Linked DNA regions of Drosophila melanogaster. The protein of the gene in region 1 interacts with the protein of each later gene in a pairwise test. Each region holds a gene or a part of one and is shown on either strand. Other genes may lie near its edges.

What was found. Proteins that work in one complex are often made in the same cells at the same time.
Region 2: the proteins of dpr19 (region 1) and CG17739 interact in a two-hybrid assay, tested with the Drosophila melanogaster proteins (one large-scale study listed by BioGRID).

The regions. Positions count from the first base shown.
Region 1 is NT_033779.5:10,374,399-10,380,453, reverse strand, and holds dpr19 (defective proboscis extension response 19), read right to left. Parts: upstream 4,287-6,055; 5' UTR 3,901-4,286; exon of another isoform or gene 3,570-3,900; intron 3,207-3,569; 5' UTR 3,133-3,206; coding exon 3,066-3,132; intron 2,658-3,065; coding exon 2,512-2,657; intron 2,444-2,511; coding exon 2,233-2,443; intron 2,167-2,232; coding exon 2,055-2,166; intron 1,964-2,054; coding exon 1,590-1,963; intron 1,532-1,589; coding exon 1,284-1,531; 3' UTR 549-1,283; downstream 1-548. Other genes in the region: gny (garnysstan), read right to left, coding at 1-305; CG33303 (uncharacterized protein), read left to right, coding at 4,721-5,306, 5,363-6,055.
Region 2 is NT_033778.4:12,304,816-12,310,920, forward strand, and holds CG17739 (uncharacterized protein), read left to right. Parts: upstream 1-1,712; 5' UTR 1,713-1,738; intron 1,739-2,463; 5' UTR 2,464-2,472; coding exon 2,473-2,650; intron 2,651-2,743; coding exon 2,744-3,132; intron 3,133-3,185; coding exon 3,186-3,647; intron 3,648-3,703; coding exon 3,704-3,875; intron 3,876-3,939; coding exon 3,940-4,061; intron 4,062-4,125; coding exon 4,126-5,424; 3' UTR 5,425-5,597; downstream 5,598-6,105. Other genes in the region: salto, read right to left, coding at 1-86, 150-310, 405-656, 714-1,056, 1,116-1,183, 1,247-1,283; CG30203 (uncharacterized protein), read left to right, coding at 5,910-6,075.

The DNA of each region.
Region 1 (6,055 bases):
TCGAATCCCCTGCTCTTGTGCAGCTCGACGAAGCGGGGGTCAATGGATGCTCCTATGCGACCCACCAAATAGCTGTGGTAGGCCGTCAGAGGCGGATAATCCAGGCCCCAGTACTGAAGATCGTTGTTGGAGCTGTTTGTGTACCATTCCCCCACTGCCAGATTGACCGTGATCTCTTGCCAGTGGCGCTGGGCCTCGTAGTCGCCATGCATCGGCGGGGAATCGAAGCCGGAGTAGGAGTACAGCGAGATAATCGACCTAACCGCCAGGCCCAAAAAGGCGCTTGCCAAAATTTCGGATCTCATCTTTTTGTTTTGCCAACATTTTTCAGCGATGGTAGTTCAGCTATGTAGAATTATCGATAACTTGTGTCAAATACAACGACAAGCTAAGATTGCACCTCACGGAACTGCGGTATATGAAACAGAAATCGGAAGGGGGTCTTACATTTGAAAATGAGTTCAAAAATATTCATAACATTTTCGTATTCATTTTTTAAATGTGTACCACCCAACTGAAGAGCAAATAACTTAACCAGAAGCGGGTTTCTTAAAATTGATCTGTTTATTTAAAACGTTCTTATGTCGGCAACAAAATTTAAAAGTCGTTTTGCACTCCGTATTCGAGGGTAAACAAAACGAAACTGGCACTTCTGCCCATTTTGGATTGAAGACAGCGCTTTTGAAAACGCTCACGGAAGTAATATTTATTTACAGTTGTACATACAGTATATGAATTAGCATACTTCTAAAGGTGCTTACATAAATCAATCTATATACTAAATATCGAACACTGAGCAGAATAACAGTTTAAAGGTGACGATCAAATTTTCCGAGTTATTAGGTAACAAATCTGTATGGCTTTATCATTATCATTTTACGCTAATTCCATTGTTTGTAACATTAAAATGTCAGTACCAGTACCAGTCAATAAATATGAACATCTAAGCATACATTATATCTTACGTACCACTATGAACCATCAAAATATGCGGTTTTCAATCCCCCATGACTTATTGGCATAGGTATGCATTTTATAAGTTTTGTGGTAACAAGTTCGTGAATTCTCATCTTATTTCTCAATTCAATACATTGCATGTAATGGAAGTCTATTTACAGTTTATTCTTAGATTACTTTAAATGTCTTACCATGCCCACGCCGGCATCTCAATATGGTATGTCAATGATCTATTTACAATCTTCTATTTTAAAACAAATATTCTCAAATATAATATCCTCGAATGATTGAAGTTGCTCCATTCCAAATACCATCGATTATAAGTTTCAGCTATGCATAGTGACTATTATAAATGCTACGAATACCTTGTGAGTTGCCGCCAACGAGAATCGATCGAATACCACCGCGCCCATCAGCAGGAACAGCCCAGAGAAGTAGAGGATTCCCCCGGCCAGAGTTACGCCGCTAGTTCCATTCAGTCCACCCAATGTGATCAATCCGAAGGTGCCGTTGCCGTTGGTCTCCGTATCCAAAATGCTCCGATTGGCGTGCTGCATGGCCGCCGTTTTCTCACCTATTATAATTACAATGAGTATGACATATATTTAAATATCGACCGGCGGCGGTCTTACCCCTTAGAACATGCACTGTAATGCTGGCAGGACGGGCATTTGATGGAGCACATGTATAGTTGCCGGCATGACGGAAATTGACTTGCTTCACAGTAAGCACACTGACCGAGGGATTCAGGAGATAGGCGGATTGATGCTGTTGCGTCATATAGGGCGTGGAGGAGGGCACATTGGCGGCCGGTGCCTTGATAGCATCCGAGCTGCCCAGCAGGCTGTTGAGCACCCCATTGCTGGACTCCATGGGCATGGTGGCGCGCGATTTGTTCGCCGGCGAGCTACGGTAAAACTGGCCACTCTGCGGATTGCTTTGCCCAATCGATGTCACAACGAAGCCGCCTTGTGAGTCGTAATTGATCATTTTACTATCATGGTACCTAAATTGAAGAAATTGCATTCGGTTAAGTTGGGTCTTATGTTTAGAATAATATAAAATTTTACAAATCTAACTCATATTATTTTTCATACCAAAAAACAAATGCAGGATTCTCGGTAGCTCGCTTCAGTTTGCATTCGAGTCGCAGAGTAGAAGTCTCATCAATATGCAATTCCGGTGCACTAGAAATCTCAGCTACCGCTTCTATACAACGAAAAGATTCAATACCCGTTAAGCTTTGAACTTTGTAAGGCAGCTGCGTCCACTTACCGACAATCTTTAATTCTATAACTATTGACTGAGTTGGATAAATAGACAATTGACACTCGTAAAAACCGCGATCTTCCTCCCGAACTGCCTTAATTCTCAGGGACCAGTGGCCCATGTGCCGCGTGTGCTCCACCAAGAATCGCTTGTCACTACTGTGGGTGGATAGGCCCACTGTCAGGAGCTGGAAGTCCTTTCTACGTATCCAGGAAACCTGAAATGTTGCAAAAGGTCTAAGTATTAGAATCGATGTATAAATTTTAAGAAAAACATATATCTCACCGTGGCTGGGGAGTTAACTTTGACCACACAGGGCAGAATGGCAAGTCCTCCCTTTTGTGCAATAACTCGAGTGTTGTTCTTCGTATTAAATTGACTTTGTAAGGTGTTACCAAAATGATTTTGAGACGAAGTGATCTTCCCGACATCTGAAATGGTTGTTCAATGAATATTAAACAAAATCTCTTAATATAAATGTGTCAAAAATCACATGAAATGAATGAATCCAAAGTGATTTGCGGTGAAATGTTAAAAAAAAAAAACTTAAAAATGTAAAATGTAAAAATGAAACTTAAAAATGTATCTTTTATCTATGCCTTCATAGCTTTCGTTTTCATAGCTTTCGTTTTATTTTTAATTACTTTTGCATAGAAATAAAATTTTTCGTTCACTAATTTCTCTTGGTATTTAATATTTTTTTTTATTTACCTTCAAAAGCAATCAAAATAAAGTAAAAACGCAATCGAAGGTTTTCGCTTCCAATTTATAGCATACAACTTAGCGCAAAAGTGATAAAAATCGTTTAACGATTCATAAAGTTGGCGACCTTTGCTTACCAGAAAAAGTTGAACTAAGGAGTAGCAAAAAACATGATAAATGCAAGTGCCATCTTTTCGGTTCCATTATTTCCGAATTCGAGGCTCCGCGGATCGTATACTTTTCTAATTCAACTTTATACCCGCAGCAACATTGTCCTCCTGCAACGAACTTCAGTTTATGAGTACATTTGTATTTATGTATGTATGTATGTCCAATGTGTATTTCTAAAAATATTTGTGGCAACAACGATGCACCGTGGAGTATGTATGTATGTTTTATAGCTCGCAGATACAAGATATTTATATGTATGGGTCACGCAAACAACTTGAAACTTGTATCATGTTTTTTCTTTTTTGGGATAATCTTGACTTAAGTGGAGGAATTCAATTTCTTTCTTCACTAATATTTTATGCACAGAAAAAAAACACATGTCACGGATACAAACATACATATATGCATACAGATATATGTATATATTTTGGAGGAAATGCATACACAGAAATTGATGGAGGAAAACTCACTTTTTTCCCGTTTTTCTGCTCTTTTTGCACTGACTGCTCGGCAAATCCTTACGCGTACATACACATTTCGCCTCTAATTGTTTATGCAATCATAAAGCATTCGTATGACTATTTCATAGCTACATATTTTCGAGAATACAGATACAGATACACAGGTGAAAGATGTATAAATTGTATGTATTGACCGTCAGAAGTGCAGATTTCTCACTGCATTTTCGTTATATTTTCACACACGCGGCCTCTGTGTGTGCGGGTGTGTGTATGTGCGTGCGGGTGTGTGTGTGTGTGTGTGTGTTTAGAGAAAATGGCACAATTCTGGATTCGAATTTACTTGGTTGGAGCCAAGAGTCCGCAGTTCACACCCCGGCGAATACAACTTCGTTTTCGAAGTGCCAATCGTCGACTAAATTGAAGTCGGCAAAAAGCCCCATCCGTATAACTCACGCAATCGCATTATGTGGGGTCTCTTCTCTCCGGATTGCATTGCATATGCGTGTTTAAGCCAACTCGACTCGCCAATCGAAGGGATGATGACAGGAATTATTTAATATTATTCATATTTACTGCTGGGCGGCATAATGAATGGCATAGAGAATCGCATGAGTCGCACAAAAGTGGCGTAACAACGGCGTGTATTCTTGTTCTAAGGGTAATAGATAACGAACTTTGGTGGGGTGCTTTCCAAAATTAGTTTTATTCTGCTGCCAATCGATTGAAATGGCGCCCAGTCAGCTGACTGCTATCAGCCAAAAGTTAGGTTAGGTCAGTACTTGATAAGTGCTTCGCTAACAAGATAATATAATAATATAATGTAATATAACAATGAGAATCGTTAAAACACAACAAAAATTATGTATGCTATAAAACATGCATGCAGAACTTAAAATATATCAATAATATTTTATAAATGATTATTATATATTTTGTGCTTAAATTGATGCAAAATAAGCTTTATTTAGAAGTGCTATTATTTTGGTTACTGCCCTTTATATATTTTTTCTGTTATAAGAATAAAAATTAAAATATTTATGGAATACCCCTGATAATTCTGCGCAGTGGCTGGTAAAAGTACGAATGCGTGACACGGTCACGCTGAGCCGCTTTGCCGGCTGAATGGTCTTAAATATGCCCTAACGCTTCGAGATTTTCCAATGTACGTGTCCAAATTTGAGGCGAGCATGGCTACGAATTTTGTTATTTATCTGGCGCTTGGGGCACTCCTCTGCCTGGCCACTGCCAACGGGGAAATAGTGAACACAAATGTGGAGCGAACGCTGGACCTAACATCGCAGCTGGTAAAGACGACCACCAAGATCTCGGCGGAAGATTCGGCCGGCAAGCCGATTGTGGAATACGTGTTTTTCACATCGGAGCCCAGTTTGGCGTACATTGACGTAAAAGATGCTAGCGACAAGAGTGTGCCATTCAAGCGGAATGAGCCCGTGAAGGGGGAGCAGAGCTTCACGTTCACCTTCCCCAGGGCCGCCGCCAAGCAGACGTTCATCGTCGAGACCGTGGCCTCTAAGGGCATCCGCCCACATCCGGAGGAGATACGGCAGAACGACAAGCAGTTCGTGAAATATACGGGCAATCTGCACCTCTATTCCAAGTACAGGACCAACAGCCAGAAGACCAATGTCAAGCTCAGCTCCTCGAACATCTTGTCGCACACCCAGGTCAAACCCTTTTCGGTGTCCTCCAACAAGATCACCCTGGGACCCTACGAAAACGTAGAGGGTAAGTAATAGCTGCCTAGCAGAAACCGTCTGTTCTAACGCTTTCGATTCGTGCAGCCTTCAGCCAGGAGCCACTAGTCATCCACTATGAGAACTCCGCACCATTCGTCACCGTCAATACGCTGGAACGCACGCTGGAGATATCGCATTGGGGCAACATTGCCGTCCAGGAGTCTATTCAGATGACGCACACCGGGGCCAAGCTGAAGGGCTCGTTCTCGCGCTACGATTTCCAGAAGGAAGGACGCTCCGGACTGGCGGCCCTCAAGTCGTACAAGACCTACCTGCCAGCATCCGCATCTGGTGTCTATTACCGCGACACCAATGGCAACATTTCCACCTCCAACATGAACGCCGTGCGCGACTTCATCGAGCTGGAGCTGCGTCCGCGCTTCCCGCTCTTCGGCGGCTGGAAAACGCAATACACTCTGGGCTACAATGTGCCCTCGTACGAGTACATGTTCAACGATGGCAACAAGTACCAGCTGAAGATGCACCTCATCGATCACATCTACGACAATATGGCCATCGATGAGGCCACCATCAAGATTATTCTGCCTGAGGGATCCAGTGACATTAGGCTGTCCACGCCCTACTCCATCAGCCGATTGCCCAATGAGCTGGTGCACACCTATCTGGATACCATTGGTCGCCCGGTGGTCTCGTTCTCCAAATCCAATTTGGTCGAAAGCCACATTTCGGACTTTACGCTCCACTACAGCTTCTCGAAGACTTCTATGCTGCAGGAAC
Region 2 (6,105 bases), on another chromosome or scaffold:
TAGAGACTTTTGTTGGGTGACTCTTGTTTGGAGCATGCACCGCACAACTGTTCGATCTCCTCGACGATTAAATTCATTTTTTCTTCCTGGAGACACAATAAAATAGTTTCACATTGCTAGTGCATCATAGCGGTTGCACAAAAACATACCACTAGGTTAGACAACTTTTTTTGAGTTTCCTCACGCTTTTCACTAGCCTCGAGATCATTTTTAGCCCTCTGAATTCTTGGTATATGGTCGTAGATTAACAAAACCCCCTGATCTACAATCGCACGACACCTGGTTTTCAAGTCATTCATACTTTCGGCGGCTAGAAAATAAAAGTATGCAATTGTAAGCGAAAGAAGGATAATTCAAGGATAACAATTCATTCAATCGAAGACGTAAAATCAAAACGAACTTACGAATACTCTTGGGCAATCGAAGTAGATCATCATGGTGGACCACAAGCTTGCATTCATCGTTTACAGTCAGACCCACAAACTTGAAGACCCCTTGATTCCGGAGCTCCGAACCCATTAACCGGATCTTGTGCATAAACTCGGACTGCAGGTTCTCCAGTTTTTTTTTCTGCGTATCAAAGACCCGCATCCGGTTCATCTCCAGGACACGGCGATGCGACATCTTTTCAGGCTTCTTTACATTTTGATAAGGTTCTGTGGACGGCAATAATCAGAGAATTGGACCACGTTTCAAATATTCGCGATACCCACCGCATGTCGTTGACTTAACCAATTGTGCTGACTGGGCATGCGTCTTTATGGGAACCACGTTCCGCTTGGGGGGATTCAACTCATCGATATCAGTTTTCCGATCGGGCTCAACTACTTTATGCTCGGGCTCGACCCGTCGATTGGGCAACGAATACGTACTGACACACGGGCGCGCTTTCGTCGAAGAAGTAACCCGTTCCAGAGAAGTTTTTCGCGAATGGATAGACGACCGACTCGCTCCACGCCTATTTGGAATGTGACTGAGCCTACCTTTGTTTGGGCTTCCGTCGCCATTCTGGGTGGGAGGAGTAGAGAAGACGCCACCACAAGAAGAAGTGCGAGACTGGGACGGGGATGTAAAGCATTTGAAAAAACTAAACCCTTTTCTTCTATCTCACTCACCCATGTAGCTTTGTCTGAGGCTTGCTTTTCCGCCTTTCCAGCTGTCCTCAGCAAGAATGCTTTGTTACCTAACAAGGATAACGAGCATTTGAAGCACACATTCGTATAGCGTTCAAGGTACATGTACTTACTACGAACTGAACGCGGCGTCACGCTGGAAGAATTCATATCTAAAGTTTCGGAAATCAACGCTTTTTTGTAAACGATTTTTGTGTTCAAAATGAGGAAAAAATAGTATAGAAAATTTGTTTCTAAATATTTCCAGTTGAACTACGTCTAGTGTAAATGGTACAAAAATGCTTTCTGACCAATCCAAACGAGGTGGTTCGTGGAAGTAACATGAATTCAAACTCAGAGCACACTTGTTCAGTTCCAATGTACCCGGTGTTTTTGGGGTCTGTTTGTTTAGAATGAGCGTATGAAAACTAATGGTTTCTATCAACAAATGCGAATCTGCAAAAGAAGCGGAAACTAAGCTAAATGGGAGGGAAAAGTAGAGAGCAGTTTTTCCCTCTCTGAGGTTCTCCATGTAATCCATTCGTCGGTCCCGAATGATGCACATCGTCCATCCAATAATCGACTCGGCGAAATTTGCATTCAGTTGCTGTTCGTGCGTCCACCGAGTAAGTTCTTAGTTCGGATTTCCCTCTAAAAGCATATATTTCGAGATTGTTTCATTTACGATCCATCAATACTGAGTAACAAGAGTATGAAAAAACAATCTGTACCACCTTGCTATTAGTTTATTTTCTCAAAATAACTTAATCAACTGGATTAACATACATGATGTGCTAGTGAAAGTGGGTGCTACAATATAAGTGCAGTACTGAGGTGAAGAAGCCCTAAAAGTGACTTTAATGATTTAGATCCATGGGAAATGGACGTTTGTCACCCCCTTGTATTCGAATTCGCTGTAGACAGTCGGCGCGTTTTTCAATTGAATTTAATCAGTGACGTAGACGGTCTATATAGTACAGACTATATATTGTATATACGCAATGCGATCCGATTTTCAAGGGGTAAACAACCAACAACCCGCCTAGTTCAAGTTCCGCATGGCAATTGAGCTGGCATAATTTGGATCTCAAAGGAAATGGAAAGTGTCTGCGAAAATAGCAATATGCACTATGTGTGACATCACGCAAAGTCATTCAATTGAAGGCTATTTCTACGAATTCAAGTTCAGTTTGAAACTGGAAGTAGGCTCCATTGGTTGCCATTGACATTCGATACCAATGCGGATAATTAAGACAATTAAGTGCTGGCCAGAAATAGTTTTTTCCCCCACAACCACGTGGCTGCATCAAATGATTGTAAATTTGTATTCCCACTCAATTTTGCATTGCAGCTCTTTGAAATGAAAGCTCTGGAAGGTTTCACTATTCTTCTCGCATTAGTGGGTGTTATTCCCCGGATCGAGGGCTGCATTAGGGTCCCACCGGGAGTCACAGCAGCCAAGTCACCGGTGGATGATAACTATGTGCTGTCCGTAAACGGAAATACGCAGAGTTATGTGCCCGGTCAAAGGTATAATGGTGAGTGCATTAAATTAAGCATTAAATTAAATTAAATTTACAAATTTCTAGATTTTTCTTTCAATTCTCTAATCTTTCGCTGCTCGTTTTCAGTTAGCCTCAGTGCATTTTCTGGCTTGTCCTTCATTAGCTTTATGCTGGCCCTGGATTTGGAGAGTGGTGACGGCGATGGTGACGCCAATGCCCTGGGCACCTGGGAGATCGCCGATCTCGCCGAGACCCGTTTCAGTCCGCGCTGCCCAAATCTTGTCGAGAATACCAACACGAACGTGAAGACACGCGTGGATGTGTTCTGGGTGGCTCCATCGAGTCCGGGACAGGGCTGCATCCTGCTGAGGGCTACGGTGATGCAGCATCGAGATGTGTGGTTCATGGATGATGGCTTCCTTACCAAGCGTATGTGCGAGGAGGAGGTGGACGACATTGACACCCAGCCCAGCATCGTGGATCCGTGCTGTGCCTGTGACGAGGCCAAATATGAGGTGGGACTCTTTTAACTCATTATTGAAATGGTATTAACACCTCCTTACTTCAGCTTACCTTCGAAGGCAAGTGGTCGCGTCACACACATCCCAAGGACTTTCCAGCGAATAGCTGGCGCACCAGATTCAGCGATATCATTGGTGCCTCGCACACACTGGACTACAGATTCTGGCAGTATGGAGAGCTGGCCAGCGAGGGGCTGCGTGAGGTGGCGGAGCATGGCTCCACAAGGACCTTGGAGAGTGAGCTGAAGGATCAGAGCGAACACATTCGCACGATCATCAAGGCAAGGGGCATTGCCTATCCGAATGTTACGGGCAAAACATTTGCCGTTTTTCGCGTCGACTCCAACCACCATTTGATCTCCCTCGTATCAATGGTGGATCCCTCTCCAGACTGGATCGTTGGTGTATCCGGCCTCGAGCTATGTCTGCCCAACTGTTCCTGGGTGGAGAACAAGGTGCACAACCTATATCCCTGGGATGCGGGCACCGATAGTGGTCCATCATATATGGTAAGACGATTTCCATGATTTAGTCTTCAGTAGAGTCAATCACGAATACTTTTCAGTCCGCTGACCAGCCACAGGTGCCTCCAGATGTTGTGCGCCGCATCAAATCAAATTTCCCCAACGATCCCCGTTCGCCCTTTTATGATCCCACTGGTGCCCAGATGAAGCCATTGGCCACCCTGCACATCAATCGAAGACGACTCTACGAAAAGAACTGCGAGTCCTCCGATTGTAAGTTAAATGCAACCATATATTGATGTTGTGAATATACATACTATATACTTTAATCCTGTAGCGGAACAGGTACCGCCGGAGTGCGCCACAAACTCGTGGTCCAGATGGGATGAATGCACCACAAAGTGCGGTCCCGGCAAGCAATACAGAATCCGAGAGTTCAAGAACCCTGCATTGGCTTCGGTAATTAAGACGACATATATAATTTGGATCCCATACTATATATACATTTTGACACCTACCTTAGCGTCATCGTTGCAACAATGCCCTGCGTGAGGAGAAGAACTGCGTGGGACACAAGTGCGCTGGCTTCAATGAGGAGACAGCTGAAGGCGGCGAGCCGGAGGTGGCGCCATCACCAGGTAGCAGCGACGATCCCCAGTGCGGTCTGTCTGACTGGTCGGAGTGGTCTTCGTGCACCGTGACTTGTGGAACCGGCGAAATGACCCGATCCCGACACTATCTAAACAAGAAGGCCAAGAAGAAGTGCCAGAAGGCAAGCAGGGCGCGTCTGCATGAGACCAAGATTTGCGAGGCAATGGAATGCGGTGGGGACATCGAGAACGAAGGTGGTGCTGGGGAACCGGAGGAGGAACAGGCCGGTGGCGACGGAGGTGGATCCGCTGAGAAACGCTCCATATTCCGCAACTTCGAGAGTTACAGTCAGCATCGGGAGGATTACATACCACCGGTTTGCGGGGTCACTCCATGGTCGGATTTCTCGCCGTGCATGGGGCCATGCGGTGGACATGGAAAGCGGCAACGTATTCGCAAGGTGTGGAATAACAACCAGGTGTACGGAGTAACGGATCCCAATGATGACGGCCAGGATCCCTGTCGACACATCAAGCTGCACGAGGAGGTGAACTGCACCAATCCTAGCTGCGATACCATTGTTCCCGGCTTCTGCTACGACGAGCTGACCGACAGTCCGTGTCGGGATAACGATGTGGCCAACTTCTGGTACTACGACCATGTGAGTGACCAGTGTGCCATCTATTGGTCGGATCGTTGTGATACAAATCGCAACAAATTCAAGTCGAAGGAGGAGTGCGAGGAGACATGTCGCCTGCCGCGCCACAAACAGGAACTGCAGCACGATGGCATTCCAGCCATTGATTGTCTCGTCTCTGACTGGGTTTCCCACAGTTGCAACGCCTCCTGCGGCGATGGCTTCCAATTGCGAACGCGTCGGGTGCTCCGTACTCCGAAGTATGGAGGCAAGCCATGTCCCAAGCACCTGGTACGTTTGGATCGCTGCTACCAGCGGTGCGATGACATGTACTCAATCAGTGGACGGGGATTTGGAGAGCGAAGGCATGTGGTAAGAGCTCCGCAACCGGAACCGCAGGACGAGTGTCGCTACTCGGAGTGGTCCGCCTGGACACCATGCACCGCCACGTGTGGCGATAATGCCGTTCGCCAACGAACCCGAACCCTAATGAACACCGATCTGAGCTACAAGTGCAAGGATCGCGTCCGCATGGAAAAGTGCGTGATGATGCCTTGCCAGCTGACCAGCAACGATGATCCAGAGCGGTGGTGAACATACCATTAACTGCTACAAGTATTAGTTCTAATCCAACTATGTAATCATTACCAATGGATATCGTTAAATATATGAAAAATTCCAGACTACCTACACTAGCTCTTCTCGCAACAGATTAAATATGTATTAAAAACAATAAAACAGAATTGTGTTCGCGTGGTAATTCCAATTCCGATTGAGTTTAACCTTGACCCAGTTCCATTAAGCAAACAGTGGCCAGTTTACGAGTGATTTTTCGCCGGGTTGCAAGTTCAAAGAACCCGGGCACAATTCATCAATTGAAAAGCTTGCCATAAAAACAAACCATTCCTAATTGAAGACAACTCAATCAAGATGCCATAAGCTGTCAACGCCGAGAGCGCCATTTAAGGGATAATTGATAAATTGGAAATGCTCATCAATTAATGGAGATGGCTAGCCATCAGTTTTGGTCAGTCGCCGTTGAGCCTCGACCCAGTACGGATCGCTAAGATTGAGAAGAGATGCTTCGCCATATCGTGCTCCTCATTCTGCTGTCTTCCGAAGTCAGAGGAGTCTGCAATCGGATACCCCAAGGTGCCAGTGGCCCTCGATCGCCTGTGGATGATAACTTTAAGATCCTTATCGATGGCAATCCAGAGACCTATGTGCCAGAACATCAGTACAATGGTGAGAGTCTCGAGTTGTCCTGAAGCTTTT